2 linked regions of the Ovis aries genome follow. The protein of the gene in region 1 purifies or fractionates together with the protein of each later gene. This does not show direct contact. Links are inferred from orthologs where the notes say so. Each region holds a gene or a part of one and is shown in the gene's direction. Other genes may lie near its edges.

Region 1 (4,976 bases):
TTGGCTATCCCCTCCAAATACTGAGGTACAATTTTTTATTATCAAACTGATCTGAGCATGTTGAAGCTGTTTTTCAAAGGAGTCTTTCTTCACAAGAGTCTTAGGATGTATGCCATGAAAAACATAGTCTTTTTTTTTTCACCTTGGGAAAAAGGTAAAAAAGAAAAAATAGTAGTGTGCTCTCTGTTCCTCTACTTAGCATACTTAACCTTCAGAAATTCAGAATCTTCTTCGGAAAGAAAAAGATCTTGACTTTCTGAGACACCACAGACCTTTTCTTTAGGAAGGATAGATTGATGATATAGCAGTTTGAATTTACGGGAGAAAATCAAGACAAAAAGAAGTTGGATCTTGGGCTACAGAAAGCAAATAATTTTCCAGAATATTAATGATGGCATCTACAGAAGTTATATTCTTCGAAAATGTTTTAAAAGAGTGTGCTCAATATGAAAGATAAAACCTAGAGCTTGTTATACCGAGTGAAGTTAAGTCAGAGAGAAAAACAAAATTCATATACTAATGCATATATGGAATCTAGAGAAATGATACTGGTGAACCTATCTGCGGAGAAGCAGTAGAGACGCAGACATAGAGAACAAGCTTATGGACACAGCGGGGAAGGACAAAGCGCGATGAACTGAGAGAACAGCACTGAAACATATATACTACCATACGTAAAATAGACAGGTAATGGCAAATTGCTGTATAACAGAGGGAGCACAATGCAGTATTCTGTGACAGCCTCCAGGGGTGGGATGCAATAGCCGATGGGAGCAAGTTTCAAGAGGGAGGGGACATATGTATACTTATGGCTGATTCACAGTATTGTACGGCAGAAACCAACATAACATTGTAAAGCAATTACCCTCCAATTAAAAATAAATTAAAAAAAGACCGAATTAGAAGATCCTGTGTTTGAAAAGCAAGATATACTAAACGAATAGGTCAGTCTTTAAAGAGACTAATTGATTCTTATGGAATTTGGATAAATTTAATCTATATACCTTCTTTGTTACAGTGACATCAGGTATTTGAATTTACTTTGCATATTTTTGATTTAACCTGATTTGATTTTTTTTCCCCCCTAAATCTCAACATATGTAGTACATTCTTTGGTATGTCTTTAATCTTAAAGTTACAAACACGTGGTTATAAACTGGCCTTTGGTGTTTGGGGAGGAAATATTTAAATTGATTTCATTTTTAAAGTGGTCTAATAGTTCATCTCCAAAATGTGTAGCCTATACTTTAGGTTCGTTATAAACTTTGCTTTTGTAAAGAAGAAAAAAAATGCTCTGGGTTATTCATCTTTTCAGTTGAGTTCTTGTTGAGAAAAAAAAGGAGGAAGCAGTAGCTACTTAAGGACAAGAAGGATTTTCAAACACACACATACATACACAGCATCCATGAAATTTAGAACTGGTTAACTTACATTTTACTTGTGCATGTTGGCTGACTTCAGCATCCTAGTTCTAAACAGTAAACGTTTACATTTAAGATGTTAACTCCTCCAAGAACAGCGCTTTCCCTCCCTTCCTTTTTAATTCCACCTTAACGCATCTGCAAAGACGAAAGGAAACCAGCCCACATTTTAGCCCCTCCTACCAAGGATAAGACTTGAACTTCTCTGTGGTCCCGGGCTAAGAAAGGATCCCGACTGAAAACTAGAGGCGTAAAGGAGCCCGAAGGATCTCACTGTAACTCTGGGAACTGTAAGCAATCTATTTACTCTCCCCGCACCCCCATCCCCGCTCGCTCCCAGGTCTCTCTCCCCCTCTCGCTAACTTTTAGTTTCTACCTTGCTTGGAAGGAGGAAGGGACGGAGGGAAGGCTAGGAGGCATCGCTCTCTCGAAAGTCTGCATGCCCTCTGTATTTTCCAATAAGACACAGATCAGGGGACCTTAATTTGCTTCTAACAAATGCCAGTTTGCTTTCCGGGGGCTAGAGGCACCGTGGAGTCCAAGATAAGGCGTTTCCTTCTTTTACAGCCCGGAAAGAAAGCTAACGTTTAGAACCACAGCGAGGTGACTCTAGCTAGAGCTCCACGTGAGGTTGTGGCCAATGCCCATACGAGCGAGCAACCTGCTGTTTGACAGCCCTGAGGCTCTTTAGCGAAGGAATTTATCCACTCATTTAAGGTTTAATTGAAAAACGGTCATTTCGGTTACTTATGCAAAGCATACCTGGGTATTTAATGTGTAGCAGTGTTATGCGAAAAGATGGACAACATTGAAAAACTAATTGTACAATGACTGGCCTTCTGATTCGTCCTTCTAAGTTATTGGACATGCCAAGAGGGCAGAGCTTGAAACTAGATGTGGAAAAGATTTGCTCAAATAAGAAAGTTAAGTTTTGAGTGGGAAACTATTTTAGTAATTTCGTATTGAAAGCATTCGTTAAAAATAATAAAAAAGCCACTTGGATTTGAAATGATAGTGGTTTAATTTATTTAAGTCTCCTATATTGTACTCATTTTAGTCTTAGAAATGACCTCAAAACGTAAAACAAGAAATGGTCTTCAGGTTGGTTGATGACGTAAGCACTTATTCATCTAAGGGAGATGGAGCATACAGGAGGCAGACCATTTGGATGTATGTCAATTTCAACCTATGATATTTGCATGTATAACCTTTTGGATTCAAGGGGAATTTCTGTTTTGTTTTATTTCTGTTTGCTGCACAAATTTGAAATTGTGGCCTAAGAGAGGTTTGCAGGGAAGAATAATGAAACAAATCTTGCTTAAGAGTTTTAAAATTATATTCCAGTTATCTCTAAACCTTGCCGATCAAGTTGAATATTGGGATTAAACAACAGATATTTGGTTCTTTCATTGTGCAAAGAAAGAGTTAAATTTTCATTTAAGCAATAATTGTGAAATGCACAGAGAAGTGTTTAATCTGCATTTGCTCAAAACTGCTTCACAAACTTCCTGTAGGGGAAGCACATTTCATGGGATAAGAAACTAAGAAATGTATTTAATAATTTTCCTTTTCTCAATTAAACATGAATGAAAAATATCTCAAAAGTGACTTGCAATGTTAATTTTTTCCTTTTTTTACATTTTACATTTATCAGCTTCTTGCTAACAGTACCTGATAAAGCTCATCCCACAGAGGTAATTTGCCTGTGTTTTTAACCTATCAGTATCATTCCTAGTGTCTGCTTAGAAAGCAAAGTCATAAAAACCAAATTGTTTGCATATTAAAAAAATATGTTCCAGGAATAAAAAAGAGGAAGACAGAATTAGCTGTGGTTCCTTTTCCTCTCTTGTGCCTTTTATTTACCATTAGTTTTTTTCTTCCTCTTGCTTGTAGAGTTAAGCTTTAGTCATTCTCAACTTCTTTTTTATTTTCACAGACCCTTTTACAAATCTTATGAAAGCTGTAGATCCCTTCCCTGAATAATGACATATGCTCCTCAAAAATGCACAAATTTTTAAACACCTTTAGGAATTTCAGATTCTCCAAATGATTCATGTCATGTGAAAACATAGTATTTCTTAGAATTTTGGAGTTTTCTGACAGTATAAAATAATTAGCAAATTATTTCCCTTATAAGTAAAGAACTGCCTTATAGTGAATATTGCATTTATTCAGTTAGTGTTTCAGAACTCTAAATAATTGGTGTAATGGAAAAACTACTTGCCTGGAAATCAAATGACCTACATTCTAGACTCCACCCCAATAGTAATTTGCTGTACAGTCTTAAGCTTGCCATTTTTCTGTAACATCTGTATTTCTTATTGCCAAATGCAATCAGTAAAACGTAATAGGGAAGTAAGATACATGTTATTCTTTTTATTAGATTGTAGGATGTCTATATTTGCTACTTTTGCTCCAAAATTCTTAATGACATTTCCCAGCATAAGTATGTTTTATCATATTCTTATTTATTACAAAGATAATTCACGCTTATTGGTTAAATCTTGTCAAATATAGAAATTACAAAGAAGAAAAGGAAAACTGTACATATAGTCCCCCTAAGGGGTAACTACTTTTAAAATGTCATTTATTCAATCAGAAATATTTATTGAGTAACTAGCATGCATCAGCATAGAGACAAGGAATTCAAGTATATACATCTCTTTATATTTTTAGACATTTTTCTATAATACATTTATCCATATGTAGATTTCACAAAATTGTGATTGCACTTGTTAAAAGATAAACTGAGGCATATTAAAAAATATTTGAGTTTATTTGAGGAAAAAGTGATTGCAATGAGGCAGTGCCCAACCAGAAGTGGTTAGGAGTGCTTCACTGACATTATATGGGGGGAGAGATTTTATAGAGGAAAAGCAGAAGCAGAGTAAGGAATTTATTGATTGGCTACAGCGTAAAGCTTAGTTGGCTGTTTCTGAATGATTGTCCTTAGTTTTCGATTTTGTAACTTTGAGGCATTTACTGGCTTAAATTTTGGTTTGCTGATGCAGGTTGTGGTGGCATTAGGGTCACCTTAGTCTAATGACCTCCATGTTTAATTAATTTAATGCACTGTTCTTGCTGTTTTGTAACATGCTTCTCCTCAATCATGAAATTTTCTCACAAGACATTTTTATAGTCTTTAGCTTTTCTTTAATATTCATTCAGATAGTAAACAAATATTAGTGAGCCCTCCTATGGGTCAGGCACTATGCAAGTGATGGCAGTCTAGCCATGAGCCAGAGAGTATGGTGCTAAGATCTAATTTTTTGTCAGTGGAAATTCTGTATTAGCTGATTATAAATTGCTAGATCTTTACAGGGATGAAATTTTTCTGCTGTTATTAATAGTGTTTCACTTAGGACCTCTTAAAACAAATGTTTGTTACATTTGGATAGATTTTTACAACTTTATTTATTTATTTATTTTCGGTTGTGCTGGGTCTTCATTGCTGTTCGCCAGCTTTCTCTGGTTGCAGCGAGTAGGGGCTACTCTTCGTTGCAGGGTTTGGGCTTCTCATTGGCGTGGCTGCTCTTGTGGAGCACAGGCTCTGGA
Region 2 (5,246 bases), on another chromosome or scaffold:
AATGAAGGGGACATGGGTTTGAACCCTGGTCCAGAAAGATCCCACATGTCATGGGGCTACTACTGGGCCCAACAAAGACTCAATGCAACCACATAAATATGAACAGAAAAAAAGGAAATACATAAAAATGTTTACCTTTGGTCCATGCATTTACAAGTGATTTTATTTTTCTCCTTATACATTGGTATATTTCCCAAACCTTCTACAAGAAGAATGCACCTGTTTTACAATCAAATTTAAAAGTCATGGTAAATATTATCTTTAAAACATCTATCAAATGTTCCTGCTCCAGGAATTGTTCTGTGATAATTCCATGGGGACTTGGAGGTGCCTCCTCAATGCTCACAGTGTCCGATAGCATCCTCTACCATTCACTGAGCTCAGTGGATTTTGTTTGCTAATCTATCTTCCAACAAAGCTTGAAGTTTGAGGGACAGACTGATTCTTTGATTTCCGAATCCCCATGCCCTAGTACATACACTGCTGCTAAGTCACTTCAGTCGTGTCCGACTCTGTGTGACCCCATAGATGACAGCCCACCAGGCTCCCCTGTCCCTAGGATTCTCCAGGCAAGAATAATGGAGCGGGTTGCCATTTCCTTCTCCAATGCGTGAAAGTGAAAAGTGAAAGTGAAGTCACTCAGTCATGTCCGACTCTTAGCGACCCCATGGACTGCAGCCTTCCAGGCTCCTCCGTCCATGGGATTTTCCAGGCAAGAGTACTGGTGTGGGGTGCCATCGCCTTCTTTCAGTACATACACTAAGCATTCCTAAACATTGCAAATCAAGTGAAGGAATCAAGGAGTGCATAGTATAGGAACTCAGGTGTTCTCATTCTAAATCCAGTTGCATCTTTCCTGGAACTAAAGGGACCGAGAATTTTCTCCACTCTTGACTGTAGCCAACAGCCTAGGAAGAGCTTAGGAAGCCTATGGGAAGGCTGCAGAACTGCCCCCTTGAACGTTCAGCACCAGGGTTGAGGAACTCAGTGGAGTGAGAACTGAAATCCGAGTTTTCCTGGCAAGAGCTCAGATTAGTCACATGGAGGCATTTGGAGGATTCCCCAAGACTGCTCATTCCTCAGGGATCACTCACTCCTCCCAGGACCTCCCCTGGGAACAAAGGAAAACCCAAGACTTGGGACTGGGCCCTTTTCCACCAACAGCTGCTAGTAGTTTGCATTTAACCCTGAACCACAATTAAAATAAATGTTGGGGGTGGGGGAGTGGATAGCACCAGCTAGGAAACCCTTAGGTTTTCTCTAAATTACTTCCGAAGTGCTTTGAGGACCAAACAGGCCAATTTCAGGGGAAAAAAAAAAAAGGAAAAAAAGGAGATTCTTAAACAGGTTTTAATCATGTCAACTACAGCCGAAACTGAACGCCAGACCAACTGCCACGCACGCTAAGAGGGGTCAATTTCCAGTTCAACGAAAGGTTCTTAATGCCCTGGAGCTAAAAAGCCAAACAGCACCACCACCCCCTTCACTGCGGCGGGTAGTGAACTCGCCTTCTCCGAGAACAACCCTTAGGCGGGGCGGCGGGTGAGGGGGAGACCCCCCGCAGGCCTTGGACCCCCCCCCTCCCAATTTACCTCTTAGAGTCTAATCTGAAACCAAGTCTGAGGCCTTTGCGTCAGGTGCCCCTCCCTACAATATCATGTAGAAAATAATTCCTAGACCTGTAGTTTACAGACGAGGAGCTTACAATCTGGTTCCGGGCCAGCGCGCCCCACCCGCAGAACGACTGGATTCTTTGATTTCCACACTTACTCGCTAAAAGCAAACCCTAGAGGAAGGGCACGAAAATATTCGAGAGCATTTGAGTAGGAAGAGTTGACAATATCTTTCTCTCTGGGGGCGGGTGGAGGCCTGGAGCGAGGCTACTCCGCATAGCGAGAGAAGGGTGTGTGCGCTGCGCCCGGGGTGTGAGTGTGGCGGGGCGGGGGGAGAGGGAGGCGGGCAGGAAGAGGAGGGAGGGGAAGAGGTGGGGTGAGCCGAGGCCCTGCCACCCGCCCAGGCTCCTCCTGCCTCCCCCCGCCCCCCACCCCCACGTACTAAGGCGCCCTGCCCGCGGCGCTGTGCTCACTGGCCGCGCGTCCCCGCCAGCCGAGCGTCCCCGCTGCGCCTCCCGCCAAGGTGAGTCCTGCCCGCCGGTCCCGGGCGGTCCCCGGCCCCACAGCCCGCGCCCGGGGAAATCCCCACGTCGGCGGCTCCCGCTGGCCAGGCGGTCTTCACCGGGCGTCCCAGGTGTGGGGGTGCGACGATGGTGGTGGTCCGGCGTCGGCTGGGCATGCGGGGGTATCCTCTCCCCGAGCTCTGGGCCACACCCCAGCTGGGCGAGCACCTCCCCTGTCCCTCCCCGGCGCGACCCCCCCAGACCCCCAGAGGAGGGAGCACTTGGCCTTTACCAGTACTTCGGTGTCGGTGCCCCGGGGTCTGCTCTGCGCTACCTTTCGGTATATCTTTGTTTACACCCCTCCTGCTTTTCGACTGGTCTCCGCAGTTACCCGAATCCCTGTTTCTGGCCCCCTGTCCTGGCCGGCTTGTTTCTTTGTGGGCTCCGGCTGCAGGCTGACTTCTGTCCAGATGTTCGTAGCCTCCTAGCTGGACGGCCCGTGCAGACTCGGAGAGGGCTGGCGGGTTCTCGCCCTAAAGGACACCCCTCTGTCCCTCTCCTCGAAGCTTCAAGGTTGGGCTTCCTGTTATTTGTCTGCTAGACGAGAAGTTTCTCTCTACCAGCGGAGGGAAGACGGCTCTATTTGTTTTCCTTATAAAACAGTTTTGCTGAGGGGGTAAGGGGAAGCCATCACCTTCGGCCACCACTGAAGTGGGTTTTGTACTGAAAGGGTTCCCTTCTTGCTATTTTAGTGGATCTATACAGAGATAGAGGAAGAGCAAGTTTAATGAAGGATCTAACACCCCAGATTAACCTGGCCCAGTAAAATGAACTGTTGGTACCTGGACACAATTTGAGCCTGGCAAAGGACTGGTGCTTTGCCCCCAGACCTGAATACCGCACTCTCCAGCCTCGGGCGGTCTCCACCTAACTGAAACCCGGAATCTGCCTTGTTGGGCGAGGGTGGAGGGGCCAGCAGAGCAGCTAGCCCTGTGCCAGGCACCACGGGGCCCTGGTCCAGACTCTGGAATACGTTAAGCCCACCCGCTTCCCTCCCTTGAGGTTTCTGCAGGGCGTGGTTAGCACAAAGGGCTCCCGGATTCTCCTAGTGGAAGCCTGTGACTCAGTTGTGAGACCATGTGGGTGTGGTCTGGATGGTTCCAGACTCTCTGCAGATGGTTCAGACAGAACACTCCCCTGAAGGAAAAGGGGAACTGTGCCATTTTAGAGGGCATTTTCCAAGAGGAAATGAGTCACACCCGGACAGGCCGGCCATCTGAAGGAGAGGTTTCTTGACTGAACTGTGGTTGAGGACAAGTTAGATTGGTAGGGTCATGGCGTTTCAGCTGCTGGGTTATGGGTCTGGATTCCCACTGGCAGGCTGCCTCAGCTTTATTTGGGAGGTAGTGCTTCCCATTGAGAGGTTTGCAGTTACTGCAGATTCTTTTTCCCCTACAGCATGAGTTTCAAACTGCAGCCGTGGACTTATATCCTGCCCTTCAGGTGAGGCCAGGCCCACGGAAACACCCTGTCAGTGATCTTTGCCTCCAGCATATTTCATCAAATTGCAAAAGGTGATGCCAGGCATTAGGGCAGGAATGAGTTCACAATTCATCTGAAATTTCTTCCTCAGCCCTGCCCGCACAGACTCCTGTCTGGTTTCTGTTTAATCATCTCTTCCAAGTGATGTATTCCTCCCTTGACAGCCAGAAGCTACTTTCTTCACTGTGGTCCTTGATCCACCATTTGGAGATTCTTATTTTGTTTCTTCAGATTCTCCTAATGGTCTTCTGGGCATAAAGCACTCTGATTTCTAGGCGATGCTCTTCCCCGGCTTTTCCTGTGTACAACATCAGATGGCCCCCTTGCCTCCCATGTCTGGCACCTGGCCAACCTCTCCAGCAGCTACTCTCCAGTGAGGTCAGGCCTTGGGCTGGGTGGAGCTGAAACTGAGTGCCTCTTTGCTTTCCACGGACAGCTCCAACCCTGTGACTTTTTTAGAGCACTACCCACTTGGTATGGCCTTGATCCAGTCCAGTCTTTTAAAGTTGAAGGAAACAATGGAATCCTTTCAGAGATATAAAGTATAGATTAGCACTCAGACTGCTAGGAAAGCTGATCTTTTTAGAGTCTTAAGGTTCTCATTTTTCTGAGACTCAACAATTTAGGAATCTCACATCGAAAGCAAAAAGAATGATTTTTAACGATTTTCAGCACTTCCTGGCCCTTTATTAAATAACTACCACCTAATCCAACAATGGATTTAATAGCTGTTGTCACAATGGCCGTTTGCCAGTTCTGGCTGATACCTGACAGCTCTTCATGGAGAATTGGATGTACTTTGTTAGGGTAGGAAGGCCTCAGAGTTCTTCCTATAGGATTGTATCTGGAACTCTTATTTTGCCGCTCATTTTCTTAATGGGAAAATTTTATGTTTGGTGAAAGGTGGGAGAGACAGCCTGGATTAGATCCATTGCCTCAACTCACTTTTGCTGAATTCCCTTTAGGGATCAAATTCAAGAATGCCTTTGGGGTTCAATTCCCGATCCCACTCCCCTTCCCTCACCCCCCTTTTTTTTCTTTTTAAAATCATCAAAAAGAAGGACACCTAAGACACGTTTTAGATAACATGTTTGTTTTTACTAACATTCTGCTAATTGTTTTTTGGGTGGGCTGTAAGAAAACTAGGGCATGGACAAGACACAGAAGAGATCAGACTTCTTGCTCTTTAGAAATCTCCTTTTTGAAATTATGGCCTGGATCTGGGCATGGGTCCATAGCAAACATTTGATATTGCTTAGGAGCAGACACTTTTCTAAGGAGGACCCCTACTTCCCTGCTACTCCCAGAAGGCTCAAAATTTATATTATTGTCAATTTCCTTCTTACTGATTCACTGAGCAGTCTCTGAAGGCAGGGTGCTGGCTTCTAAGACCCTGCTCCTGGAGCCCACAGTTTAGTGGAGAAAGACACAGAAGAACAGTTAACTAGATTTCAGGACATATTTTAAAATAGTATGACCTTAGCTGGTGAACTCCCCAAAGTCAAGCACCATGGGGGGTGGGGGCTGTGGAGAGGGGGCCCACACGAGCCTAGTCATGCAAAGTAGACACTCAGTGTAGGTACAGCAA

The links.
Region 2: the proteins of PLA2G4A (region 1) and S100A10 purify together in Homo sapiens (affinity purification with western blotting; 3 studies listed by BioGRID). This does not show direct contact. The link is inferred for Ovis aries from reciprocal best matches to the Homo sapiens genes PLA2G4A and S100A10.

The regions. Positions count from the first base shown.
Region 1 is NC_056065.1:67,363,863-67,368,838, forward strand, and holds the start of PLA2G4A (cytosolic phospholipase A2), read left to right. Parts: upstream 1-1,605; 5' UTR 1,606-1,711; intron 1,712-3,075; 5' UTR 3,076-3,115; intron 3,116-4,976. UniProt on the Homo sapiens protein: Has primarily calcium-dependent phospholipase and lysophospholipase activities, with a major role in membrane lipid remodeling and biosynthesis of lipid mediators of the inflammatory response.
Region 2 is NC_056054.1:101,965,858-101,971,103, reverse strand, and holds the start of S100A10 (protein S100-A10), read left to right. Parts: upstream 1-2,084; 5' UTR 2,085-2,136; intron 2,137-2,408; exon of another isoform or gene 2,409-2,692; intron 2,693-5,246. UniProt on the Homo sapiens protein: Because S100A10 induces the dimerization of ANXA2/p36, it may function as a regulator of protein phosphorylation in that the ANXA2 monomer is the preferred target (in vitro) of tyrosine-specific kinase.